2 linked regions of the Daphnia pulex genome follow. The protein of the gene in region 2 interacts with the protein of the main gene of each other region in a biochemical or structural test. Links are inferred from orthologs where the notes say so. Each region holds a gene or a part of one and is shown on either strand. Other genes may lie near its edges. The genes, in order: tyrosine-protein kinase ABL1-like and tyrosine-protein phosphatase Lar-like.

Region 1 (6,670 bases), about 2.8 Mb from region 2:
AGAATGCGAAGCGGGTCGTTGAGGCGCGGGGTGAACGGGCCTCGGAGGAGGTGGAGCCATCACTTCGGCGGCGGGCTGGGCAGACGACGGTTCAGGAGTGGTCTGCGTTTCATTGGTAAAGCCCGGTTTCTTGCCGGCTTTGAGTCGCAAGTTTTCAAAGAGCTCGCTGACCAGGTGGACTGACGGAGGATTCTGCTGTCCCACGTTCTCCATCGACGATCCGCCGGAAGGTTTCTTGTCCGTTTTCTCCTTGAGTTCGGCCACTAGTTGGGCATCCACATGGCGCAAGCCTCTCGGCGTCGACGGTTTGGTCTTTTGGTTGAGAGCCGCAGGAACCAAGCTCGGCGCCGGCTCTGGAGGCGGATCGGACCCATGTTGGTTGTCTTCCCACGGGCTGGGCGAGCGAAGGATGCCGAAAATCGATTGACTCATGATTCCGCCACCACCACCGCCCGTTTCTTCCATCGAGTGGAAAGGGGTGCCGCCGCTTTTCCTCTCCAGCAGTTCGGAAGAAGAAAGGGAATCGGCGCTCTTGCTGGTGACGAGACCGCCGGAGTGGGCGCTCCCCGTGGTCGTGTTGGGAGAGTCATTGACGGACTCGCGGTTGACTCGGTTGGAATCAATATTCCTTTTGAGCGAATTCTCCTCGATGCTGACTTCCTCGCCGAGAAAGAATTGATCTTCCAGTGACTGCCGGGCACCGCCCACCCGGTCGACTGAACTGGCGCGCATTTGGACAGACGACGTTTTAATCTGACCCCGGGGCGAAGGAATAGGACGAGTGGGCGGGGTGTGGTCCCGTGGCTTGGGACCGTCGATCGAGTCGTGAGAAGCTGCAGACGAATTATCATCCAAGGCGGAAGCCGCGTCGTCTTCCAACGGTGGAGGAGGTGGAGGGAACTCCAAGTCGGCCAAGTTGGGAGCCGGAGAATTTTCCCGCGGATTCCGCGTCTGGGGGTTGCTGCTGGATCGAAGGCCGCTGTTGCGGAGTTTAGGGCTAGGCGTTCGAGGTCCCTCACCAGACACTGAGTGACTCCTAACCGTAGGAGGAGTTTTGGTCGGATTGGAAGAGGAGCCGCCAGCATTCTTGACCCCCGGTCGGAGCCGAGGATCTTCCGTTCGGTTGTGGTTGACCGCTTGGCGCAACAGAGAAACGTGACCAGATTTAGGCGAATCTTCCTCCTTGTTTCCCTGTTCCAGGTCGACACCTTCCGGTGGCTCGCCCGTCATACCACTCTGACGAAGAGATTCCAAATAAGCGCCTATCCTCGCTCCTTTCGGCAGAGTGCCATACCTTCGTAGAAGAAAAAACACATCAGATAACCGCTAATAATCATTAGAAAACGTGTAATTAAATAATAACCGACCTGTTGATGGCTTTCTTGACGTTATGGACTTCGAGTGTGGCCACTTGGACCTTGCTCCTTTGCGGCGGTTTGGGTTTCAAGTCGGAGACGGGACTCGTCTCTTTGGGTGGGTACGTCCGCGTCTTTCGGTTGGAGCTGCTGGTCCCGCGCGGCTGCTCAGACATTTGCCGCAGAAATTTGCCACCAGACTGCGCCGTGAGAACGGCCTCGCCCTCGCTGCCATCGCCGTCCGACTCGTCGCCGTGGTTCAAACTTTGCAGATCCCTATTGATGCCTATCGATCCACAACCCAAAGGTAAACAACGGACGACTTATTTATAGCCCCGGGAAAAAGTCTATTACCTTCGAAGACATGTTCGATGCCGTTGGAATCGCTTCCGTCGTCGCCAGGTCCGCCAAAGTCTTGATCCGTATAAGAGCTGTCACGGAATGAGCTACTAAAAGGGAGAAGGGATAAAACCAATTAAAACGAAAGAATAAAAAGGCAAGTTGCAGACGACTCTGTTCATCATGTATCAAAAAGGGTGTGTCATGCTTGCACTGTACATTCTGAATGTGTGTGTGCAAAGGTTAGAAAACAGGAAGAAAACCATGGCGAGAAGCGGCCGATTATTAAATGGCTACACGTTCTAGCAACACGTTAGTAGAAAAATTGACCAAAACAACTCTGAGAAAAAGATGAAAGAGTAACATCATAATTATGTGTTGTGTGGTAGTGGTGTTGGTGGTGTTTGTTTGTACGGCGTGTTTGCGTGTCAAAGATTAATTTGGTTAATAGTTACCTGGGAGGTGCGGTACCCAGGTGCCCTAATTTGTCCGACACCTTACTGGGCTTGCCTCCTCTATGAACGGTCAAGGCAAGTGACGAGCGGGTAAGGAAAAAAAGAACACAAATATTATGAATAAAAATCCAAATAAAACACACACGTATGAGTCAAACAAGGGCGTGAACAAATGGTTGGATCAAAAAAATTAAAACCCAAAAAAAGAAAATTAAAAAATAACAAACGCAACAGCAGCGTGAAAACTCTTTTTTTAGCCAGGCAAACAACGCAGAGAGCAAAGTGGAATCGAAATGAGAATGCGTGCGTCGCGCCAAGCCACAAGAAAATCTTTTTTTTGCTTTTGTAAATTATTTCTTCAATCTCATTTATAATTCATTGCAGTCTGGTGACGGTTCTCGTTTACATTCTTCACACATTAAATCGAGCCAAAAGAAAAATAGAGACGGTTGTACCTGGTTCGTTTAGGAGGGGCCGGGACGGGCTTTCCCTTCGTGTTGGTGGCCCGTCTCATTTGCACCGGGGCGGTATTGGAACGACTAGTCATCACGGCACCACTACCAGCACCTGATGGTCGATTATGATTCTGATTTTGAGCTTGTCCCTGATTGGCGGCCTTTTTGGAGGCCAGGCGTGGACTCGAGGAACTGACGCCGACGCTGCTGCTGCTACCCTGCAACTGCCGCTCGACTTCTAATTAGTCGAACCAATTTAATTGGGAACAACCCACCAGTCAGAAAATTATTCCAATCGATTTGATAAGCTGGTAAGTAGAATGGCGAACCTTCGTTAATGCTCGACTCTTGAAACATATTTTCCAGGCCGTGGTGGATCTCTTGGAAAGTCGGCCGGTCATTGGCACTCCAATGCCAACATTGCTGCATGAGATCGTAGACCCGGGGCGGGCATCCTGGAGGGCATTCCATCCTTTAGTATAGGAAACCCCATCGTCAGGGAGAGAGAGAGAGATAAAAGAAAAATCGAGTTCAGCTGTTGAAATGAAAACGTAAGAAAAAAAAGTAGACACAATAACTCACCGGTAACCTGTTTCCAGGGTATGGTAGACATCAGTTAAATCGATACCGGGGTAAGGGGACATCCCGTAGGTGGCAATTTCCCACAAAAGGATCCCAAAAGCCCAGACGTCCGACTAGAGAAAGAAAGAAGAAAAAAGAAACATTTTCACACAAACGATTAATGACGAGGAAAAACGGGAGCCGCAGGAAAGAGGAGGAAAGTGTCACCTTGGTGGAGAATTTATTGTACGCCAAGCCTTCGGGTGCGGTCCATTTGATGGGAAATTTAGCGCCGGCGTGAGCCGTGTAGGTGTCGTCACGCATTAAACGCGCCAATCCGAAATCGGCCACTTTGACTAAGTGGTTCTCGCCGACAAGGCAATTACGGGCGGCAAGATCCCTTCAGATGATAAGCAAAACGTTTTCGGGTTAATGAAACACATCGCGGCAGCAGTTAAGAGACCCCCGCGCGATCCAGTCTATCAAATTTCCCCGGGACCCTAGCTAATTCTCACCTGTGAATGAAATTCCTGCTCTCCAGGTAGGACATGGCGGCCGCTACTTGGGTTGCCATGTAAAGGAGAACAATGGCGTCGATCTCTTCACGGTTGGCCCTTCGTAAATAGTCGAGCAAGTTGCCTCGCGACATGAATTCGGTGACAATGTAGAATGGAGGCTCGCGCGTGCACACGCCTAGCAACTGAACCAGATTCGGATGCTTCATTTCCTTCATTATGGCCGCCTCTTCTAGAAAGTCTTTAAGCGCCATTGTGTCCTCCTTGAGCGTCTTGACGGCCACAGTCATGTTGTATCTCTTCCACATTGCCTCGTACACGTCGCCGTACTGGCCTACAATTAAATAGAAAAGGACCAAAAGTTTAGGGGGGTTTCGAAATCGTCCAGGAAGGGAAAGCCGCGGTTCATCATCATCATCATCTCCCGCGCTTCAATTAGTTCACGTCGTAATCGACACGATGACAACCGCAAACACCCAGCGAGCAGTAAGAGAAAGCGGACACCACCTAGGCCGAAATGAATTAATACCTCCTCCAAGCTTCTGCTTCATGGCGATGTCCGTACGCTCAATTTCCCACTCATCCGGCTCGGGACTAAGAGCAAACACTTGAGGTTTGTGACGTTTGGGGGCCGGATACAACAATTGCGTGATGAGGCCGTCGGCATTGGCCGAATGGTGATGGACGAGCTCGGCCAGGGTCCGGAATCGACTCTCAGAAGTGACGTAAACCTTTTTAAAAAAATAAAAAAAAAGTAGTAAAGTAAACATTCAAACAAGTTTAGAGGGGGAGGTTTGCAATTCAATAGGATTGGATTTATTTATTACCCGCCCTTCCGAGTCTTCGCTGATCCGATAGTGATACACCCGACCCTCATAACGGAGTGAGATGGATCGTTGTCCGGGACTGCTTTCCGATTCCCGAACCAAAAAGCTGCCATTGATGCCCGAACTGAGCAAGTATTCAGCTGCATTGCGGGAGATTGGTCCGTGATACCAAGAGTGTTTCTCTAGGGAATTGACAGCAGTCACATAGTTGGACGGGACCCAGCCGACCCTGCCCGAACCCGAATGAGCTTCGCACCATTCTCCACTTTTATTATAGCTCAGAATTTTCACTTGTTCGCCTACAGAATGATCATAATAATAATAAAAAAGAGATTTAAAAAATAAGGGGAAAAGAAAAAAATAACGTTTGAATGTCTGGTTGATATGAAAAAATTTTTAAAGCGGCACCTTTTTTCAAGCTGAGCTGGTTATCGCCGGAAGCTTGAAAGTCATAAAGAGCGACAAAGAGTTGCGGGTCTTCATCGTCGGGTTCGGTATGGAGCAGATTATCTCTCGACGTCCATCGGTGCGCCGATTCAAGGCTAAAGGTGGTACCGCAGTGGCCGCCTCCTAGTCCCGACGATCCGCCACCGTCCATGTCCAACGTGCCCGTCGCCAAGTCGGGCAGCGTTGGCAGTGGCCGGTTCTGCAACAATGCCTCTGTGTGACACACAATCGAGAAGGAAACAAAACAAAAAAAAAGAATAAAATACAATAAAAAGATAAAATAAATGAAAACACGAGAAACAAAAACAAAGGGAGAAATCAGAACGAAACATGCAAGATGTCTGACCCTCATATGGAAACTATTCAAACCGCTAGGCCAATGGCACGCAATGCCACAGTGTATGTAACGGTAATAAACAAGACAGGGCCGGTTTTTAATTCGCCCCTGTTCCAACAAGCTGCTGGCCTCATCTGTTGTGTGTCGTGTTCTTTTCTTTTTTTCTTTTCTTCCATATAATCCCCCCAGATACCGTCGTTAACGAAGGATTTGCATTAGAAATTGCTAGTTTTCAAAATAAGACATTGAAAAATCTTCACGTTTTGACCTCAGTTAACCGGTCGGACGTCACGGCACAACAGCTGTTCGGTAAGTATCTGTTTGTTCCACAACGGCTACCATTACAAGTTTCCCTAAAGTTGCCAACTACGCAAACTGTTGTTGTAGTCTCCGCATTTTTCACGATTAAATTGGCACTCCCCGACACGACTAGATCGTTTCTCTCGTTTCAAAAAACCAACAACAAAAAGTAGCGGACATGATTACACCAAAGTAGACGGGTTCATTGAGAGTAAATAAGTCAAATCTTCCGTGGCGGATAGGATCCGTTTCCAGAAATTCGACCCGCAGCATTTGGTCAGTACAAACAGGATCGAAAGGAATAAGTCAGGCGGAACATCAATAATAAGGTACAGCAGCCGATCAATAATGGCTGACTCTTGACTTTTTTTTTTTTTTTTACTTTTGCTTGTAACTTGTGAGGTTCTTACCAAGTCGAGGCTTGGCACCGGGAGGATAAAGGATCTGAAGGAGCCGCATGACCGAGGGCGGCAAGAGGGCGGGATTCGACATGGCGCAAACCGACCAAATCAGCAGCAGCGTCTTCTTTGACTCTTCTTCTTCTTCTTCTCTTTTTTGGCAATTTTTTGGGTTGGTTTTCACGAAAAAGGAACTTTGACCGAAACCAGATAACTACTTCTTCTTCTAGGCTGCACACTACAGTTCACTACACCTCACGCATAGAGCGAAAAAGGAGAGGGCGAGAAAGGACTGGATAATGTCCGTCCAGTGACGAGTAACTGGAGAGACTGAATTTCCCCTCATCTCCTTTTGCGGCTCGTGATTAGAACGAATCGTCGGTTGGACGAGGCACCACCGGTTATTTCTTTTTCCTCTTTTCTCTTTAATTCTTTTCTTTTTTGCGGTGGCCCCTTTCAGGTCCCTCCCACAGTCGACTCCTGAAACGCAGCACGACATCTGGCCGTCATTTTTCAGCGTTCCGGTCGCTGCTGGTCGAGAGAGAGACACACATACGAGCAACGCGTAGTGGTCCAGGGCACCCTGCATGCGATTTATCAAAATCGTCGTCGTTGTTGTTGTGGTTGTGTAGTAAGTGCACGGAAAAATCCCATTTTCTCAGCAATTGAAGAGAAATGTAA
Region 2 (6,014 bases):
TCGTTACCTCCATTTGACGGATGCCTTTTTCCGAGCCTTTTTCCCTCTCCGATATAAATAACTAAGTGCAGAGATGACAAAATGATTCGTAAAACGTTTTTTGTAATTTTTAATATAGTCACGCTTGTTAATTTCTTGAGCAGGCAAATTGCTCTATGTGTTTTTATTTCAAATTGACGGAAGGTATACTTAAAATCTAACTATTCCCCCATTTTTTAATCCCTTTTTCACCTTTTCTTTCTCTCATTATTTTCCTTAAAAGGTGAAAAAGGGATTTAAAAATGGGGGAGTAGTTTGATTCTCAGTATACCTTCCGTCAACTTGAAATAAAAACACATAGAGCAATTTGCCTGCTCAAGAAATTAACAAGCGTGACTGTATATAAGTGATTCCTTCTTCAAATTTCACATCGTAAGTTCGATTGACTGGAATTATTAGAATCGACGATAACACCTTTGAAATACAGTCCCCCTTGGTCCCCCACTACCAGGCCACAAGAAGCCAGCATAAGCCGTAAACAGACTCGCCTATATCACAATAAATCTTGTTTGGAGCCTAATTTGAACTATATTTATAGTAGTGATAAAAACACCTGTAATTGATGACTTAAAAACGATTACTTTTAGCGTATTGAAAGTGATTGTTTTGCACGAATGTTCCTTAATTCATGACGAACATGAACGAACACGATCGTCATATCGAATGTCACATCATCCCCCCCCCTCTATGTATGTGTTTTCATCGTTTCTTTTCGTCTCTTGTCACTATAGGACACGGTTCTGCTATGCTGCGAGTGCGACACGACGTTCCACCGCTCGTGCCTGGCTTCACCACCGGCGTCTATGCCCGACGGATGTTACTGGGCTTGCGACGACTGCCGAGCCAACGAGTCGGTGGAGAAGACTCCGGTCAAGGACAGCTCGTCGGAAGAAGGCAAAGTTGAGAACAACAGCAGCAAGATCTCGTCGTCATCGTCGTTTCAGCCCTTGGCGCCAATTAGTCTCGGTCCGTGGGTGTTTGGCACGCGCCAACTGGAACTCAAGGGCCCTCCGTTCGAGTGGAATTGCGTCCCCAATCCCGACCCGAGTATTCCCGACGCTTCGCTCTGGACTTCGGAAGACGTTCAAAGTTACTTCAGCCGGCTGGGATTCGAAGAGCAGGCCGCTCTGTTGCGCCACAATGTAATTGACACGAGAAAACGACAAATGGTTCCCAGCAGCTGTGTGTTTCTTATTTTCTCACCTTTTTGTTTTTCCTTTTTTTTCCTTTTTTTCCAATTGGCAGGAAATCGACGGTCCGTCCCTGTTGCTGATGAAGAGAAACGACGTCGTCGGCAACATGGGATTGAAGCTGGGCCCGGCCGTCAAGATCTACAACCACATTCGCCGTCTGCAGACACGTCGCGACGATCTGATTTACGCTTAAGCCAATTGTAGAAGAAAAACCGTCGCTAAGTTTGCAACATTTCCCTTCCACCTTTCTCCTCTCCTCACCAACATTTTTGAAACTTGGAACAAGAAAGCCGGAAGAAGAAGAAGACAAAAATCCCCCAAAATGCAATGAAATCTCGACGCCGATCAAGTTCAAAACAAGCAGACGTGGAATTGCATAATCATCTTTTCGTTATTCCTTTCTTGTTGTAATAATCGTCACACATTTACAATAAAGGGAAAAACGAAATAAGCTGCCCACAATAGTTCAGTTTCAGTTCGAATTCCAGCGAAGCGGCTACATACACGCATGATGAGAAACACTTACACACAGACATACGCACATCACACTCGCGCGCGCGCGGCAATTGCACACACACACACACACACAAACCAACATTTTCTCGAAAAAATCAGAAATATTCGTCTGCGCCCAAAAGAAAACCAGAAAACCAACGACACGAAAACGCGCAACTCAAAATGAAACGGGGGAAGGAACACGGAAATAATAATGAAACGGTTGGGAGGATTGGCCACGACGATGAAGAGAATAATAATACAATCATTAATGAGTGGGGGATCGAACGCGCTGACAGTATGAGGCTGAGAGACATGAGCCAACGGAAATCGGTTGTAATCGTTCAGAAACACAAATGAAACTCGACGGTTTTTAAAAAAAAAAAGAAAACTTAAGTACAAAGTTGAAATCGCCCCGAGGAAGGCCTTTCCGGTTTCCGTGTTTTGTTTTCTTAAAAAAAAAAACAATTATCGCACAAAACAACGAAATAAATAAATTACAAAGTTAAAAATAAAATCCCAAAATTACAGCGTGCCATTTTTTTTGTTTTAGTTATTTGTCTTCTCGTGACGGGAATGATATGGCAGAATGCAGAATGTTGGTGTGGTGTGAGCTGCCTTCGATAATAACTGACGTGGGGCTCCGTAAAAAAGCGCACAAATTCGGTACGGTATGGTAATAAAAAGCGGAACACTGAAAATAATCGGTATTTGCGGGAATTTTTGTCTTTTTTCCTTTTTTAAAAACAAACAAGAAAAAAAAATCTCGTCTCGTCTCCACACCCGGATCTGTACATTATTGGCGCCATTACACAATTTTAATAATCTTTTCTTGGTTTTTTTTTTTGCGTTGCGAGTTGGTTTCTGAATTTCAAAAAAGTTTTATTTTCTTTCCTTAATTTCAAGTCACCCGGCCCCCCAAAAAATTGACGCGCATTTTGACTTTTTGTGCCTTTTGTTTTCGCTTCTTTTTTCTTTTTTTTTTTTTTAGTTTCCAGTTTTTAAATTAAAAATTTCGGGCCGCAACTTTTCTTCTCTTCTTTTTTTTTGTTTTTCTTTTGACTTTCTTTGTGATGGCGACGGATGGAACCACACGGCACACGGTAATGGATTTCAACTAGAACCCAAACATCAGACGCAAAGTGACATAGAAAAAAGGAGGTCGCGGAGGAGGAATACGAGTGGGGGTAGGAGTAGTGGGGGCATTGCAAGGATTGTTCGAGTGTCTTATTTTGTGACAAAGAGACGAGACGGACTCCATCCATCCATCCATCCGTCTCTCATAAACGTTTGTCTTATTCGTCCTATCATCCTATCATCGAAGGGCACAGTGCGAGGAGAGTGGCGGTGTGGTGAAGGCGTGCCACGGAGGGACAGCAAGTCGGGATTCGGCCTGCGACCAAGGCGGTGACGGTGTCGACGAGCCACCGGCCGCCTCGCACTGTGTCCCCTGACGTCAGTCGCATCCGGCGTAGTGGTCGAACGAGCCCAGATATTCCAGCGCCGACCGGTAGCAGAACTGGTACTGATCCTGATTGTATCAAATAGCAAAAGGAGTTTAAAACTTAACCAAATCAAAGAGATTTAAAATAAAACCAATGGACGGTGTGTTTTTACCTCCGTCTGGACCATGGCCGGCCTCTGGGTGCGCAAGATGCGGACCGTCTGGAAGACGTCGACGACGCCTTCGTACTGCATCCGCTCCAAGTCGATGCTGAGCGTGATGAAGACGCCGGTGCGGCCGACGCCGGCGCTGCAGTGGACCGTGATGGGTCCCTCCTGGCCAAACTGCTCCTTGGTCTTGTGGACCTGGCCCAGGAATTCGATGAAGCCCTCGCCCGACTTGGGCACGCCCTCCTCCGGCCAGTCGGTGAACTGGAACTGGCGCACCGTCCTCGACTGTCCGTCCCTGGCGTCCGTCATCTTGAACTCGCGCAGGATGTACTGCGGCATGTTGTACTCGGTGACGGGCTCCACCACGACGTACTGGTAGCGGATGGATCGGTCCGACGGCCAGTACTGGTGGCACTTCTCCTGGCCCATCTCCTGCAGTTTGGTCAGCATGACGACGATGGTCGAGTTGTGCTCCCACAACATGCGCCAAAAGTCCTCGGTCGTCTCGGCCAGCGGCCCCTGGGTGGCCACGTAGGCGTTGCGGTAGCGGTAGCCGTCGACGAAGCTGGCGTTGATGTAGTCGCTGCCCTCCACTCCGCGCATCGGCTGCAGGATCACCCGCGTCGACTCGTAGGGCAACACGTTGACCAGCCGGTTCTTGGGCTTGTTGACGGGCAGGCTGGCGCTGACAAAGCGGCCCGGATGCGTCCGGATGCCGGCCAGCTTCTTGAACTCCTGCTGCATGCCCGTCATGCTGGACAGGGTGCCAGAGTCGCCGCGCACGCACGGCTGCATCAGACTCTGCAGGTGGGCGTGGAGCGAGCGGGCCGGGATCTCCGTGTCGCCGCACGTGACCGCCTCCAGCAGGGCGTCGTGGATGAAGATGTACTGGTCCTCCGTCTGGACCATGTAGTTGCGCTGGGCACGGAGGACCGTCACGTGGCCGTAGACGTCGATCGTGTTCTCGTAGCGCAGACGCTCCAGCATCGAGTCGATGACGATGAAGGCGCCCGTCCGGCCGACGCCGGCGCTGCAGTGGACGATCATGGGGCCGGCCTCGGCCGAATTAAGGGCCCTGACTCGCTTGAGGAACTGGAGGAAAGGGGCCGGGTGGTCGGGCACGCCGTGATCCGGCCAGGCCGTGAACTGGAGCTGCTTGATCTCGCGGTGTTCGCTGGTGCCCAGCCGGTGGAGCTGGAAGGTGCGGACGCAGTAGGTGGCCAGCTCCTGGACGTCCGTGATCATGACGCTGACGACGCCGTATGTGTCCGAGCCGCGGCTGGGCCAGTACTGGTCGCACTTGATGCGGGCCCGCTCCTCCAGCCGCGTCATCATGACGATGGTCGACGTCTTCTGCTCCCAGCACATGCGCCAAAAGTCGGCGAACGACTCGGGCAGCGGCCCCTGGGTCGCGATGTACGCGTCCCTCTTGCGGTAGCCGTCGCAAAAGTTGCCGTTGATGTAGTCGCTGCCGGGCACGCCCGGCACCTGCTCCAAAATGATGCGCGAGTGGTCGTAGGCGATGACGTTGGCGTAGCGGTTCTTGGGCTTGTTGATCTCGGCGTTCGAGTGCTCCCACGTGAACTGCTGGCCCGTCTCGATCGACTCGTACTCCTGCGAGAACTTGAGATTGTCGTTCATCTTCAGCGCGTCGATGTGCAGCGAAATGTCGTGGATGATGATGGGCGGGTGGGAGGCCATGCCCGGCGTCTGGAAGTTGAGCCGACGCAGTTCCACCGGGTCGTTGACGGCCGTTGAGGCTCCGGCGGCTCCGGCCCCGCCGGCCGACAGGGAGGCGTCGGCCAGACCGACGCCGCCCATCAGCGGCTTGGTGACGGACGAGTGGTCAGACGATTTGGGAGAGCGGCGCTTCTTGCGCGAGCAGACGACGGCCACGATGACCAGCAGGATGACGAAGACGACGGCCGAAGTGGCCAGGGCGATCCACAGGAGGCCGGCTTCCTCCGTCTCGGACGGGACGGGCACGTACGACGAGTCCACGTTGCCCACGTTGGGGTTGGGCCGCTGCGGCAGTTCGCCGGCGGGCGCTTCGCGCATGTCCAGCGCCAGGTAGTCGGAGAACGGACTCGACGTGTAGAGGTGCTTGTGGGGCGTGTCGACGACGGCCCGGAGGAAGACCCGGTAGCGCATCATCTTGTCCAGTTTGCGGTTGAGCATGCCCTCAAACTCCTCGCCGTTGCCCAGCAGGAAAGTGTAGGGCACGTTGCGGCGCAGGAACTTGGCCGCCACGTAGGGCTGCACCCGCTCCTCCGACGGTTTCATCGTGCCGGCCTTGAGATTGCCGTGACCCTGCTGTCCCCCACCGACGCCTCCACCACCGCCACCACCTCCACCTCCGGCGTGACTGTTGGCCTGGATCAAATCGCTGTTCATAAACTGGTCCGGCTGCTTGTGCTCGCTGCGCTTGTCTTCCGGCACGACGACCAGCAGGTAGTGGCTGATGGGTCCGTACTCCTCCGAGGCCTGCGGCAGGATGACCGTGATCTCCTCGCCGTTGAGGACGCCGTAAAAGTCCGGCTTGACCATGGGCAGCGGGGCCGCCATCTGAGTGGTGACGGTGATGCGGGCCGGCGGCCGGTAGGAGCGGTCGGGCGGCACGGCGCTGACGTTGACGTTGTAGGTGGTGAAGGGCGAGAGCTCGTTGACGGAAAA

The links.
Region 1: of the proteins of tyrosine-protein phosphatase Lar-like (region 2) and tyrosine-protein kinase ABL1-like, one has a biochemical effect on the other in vitro, tested with the Drosophila melanogaster proteins (2 studies listed by BioGRID, with this or other methods). The link is inferred for Daphnia pulex from reciprocal best matches to the Drosophila melanogaster genes Lar and Abl.

What each region holds. Positions count from the first base shown.
Region 1 is NC_060021.1:8,607,773-8,614,442, forward strand, and holds part of tyrosine-protein kinase ABL1-like, read right to left. Parts: exon of another isoform or gene 6,084-6,670; coding exon of another isoform or gene 6,002-6,083; intron 5,168-6,001; coding exon 4,916-5,167; intron 4,807-4,915; coding exon 4,508-4,806; intron 4,412-4,507; coding exon 4,210-4,411; intron 4,015-4,209; coding exon 3,681-4,014; intron 3,566-3,680; coding exon 3,394-3,565; intron 3,300-3,393; coding exon 3,187-3,299; intron 3,077-3,186; coding exon 2,934-3,076; intron 2,843-2,933; coding exon 2,605-2,842; intron 2,210-2,604; coding exon 2,150-2,209; intron 1,805-2,149; coding exon 1,710-1,804; intron 1,642-1,709; coding exon 1,368-1,641; intron 1,295-1,367; coding exon 1-1,294. UniProt on the Drosophila melanogaster protein: Arm and Abl proteins function cooperatively at adherens junctions in both the CNS and epidermis; critical for embryonic epithelial morphogenesis regulating cell shape changes and cell migration.
Region 2 is NC_060021.1:5,822,364-5,828,377, reverse strand, and holds the end of tyrosine-protein phosphatase Lar-like, read right to left. Parts: coding exon 3,345-6,014; intron 3,259-3,344; coding exon 3,184-3,258; 3' UTR 1,605-3,183; downstream 1-1,604. Other genes in the region: lethal(3)malignant brain tumor-like protein 3, read left to right, coding at 771-1,181, 1,285-1,425. UniProt on the Drosophila melanogaster protein: Possible cell adhesion receptor. It possesses an intrinsic protein tyrosine phosphatase activity (PTPase). It controls motor axon guidance. In the developing eye, has a role in normal axonal targeting of the R7 photoreceptor, where it negatively regulates bdl.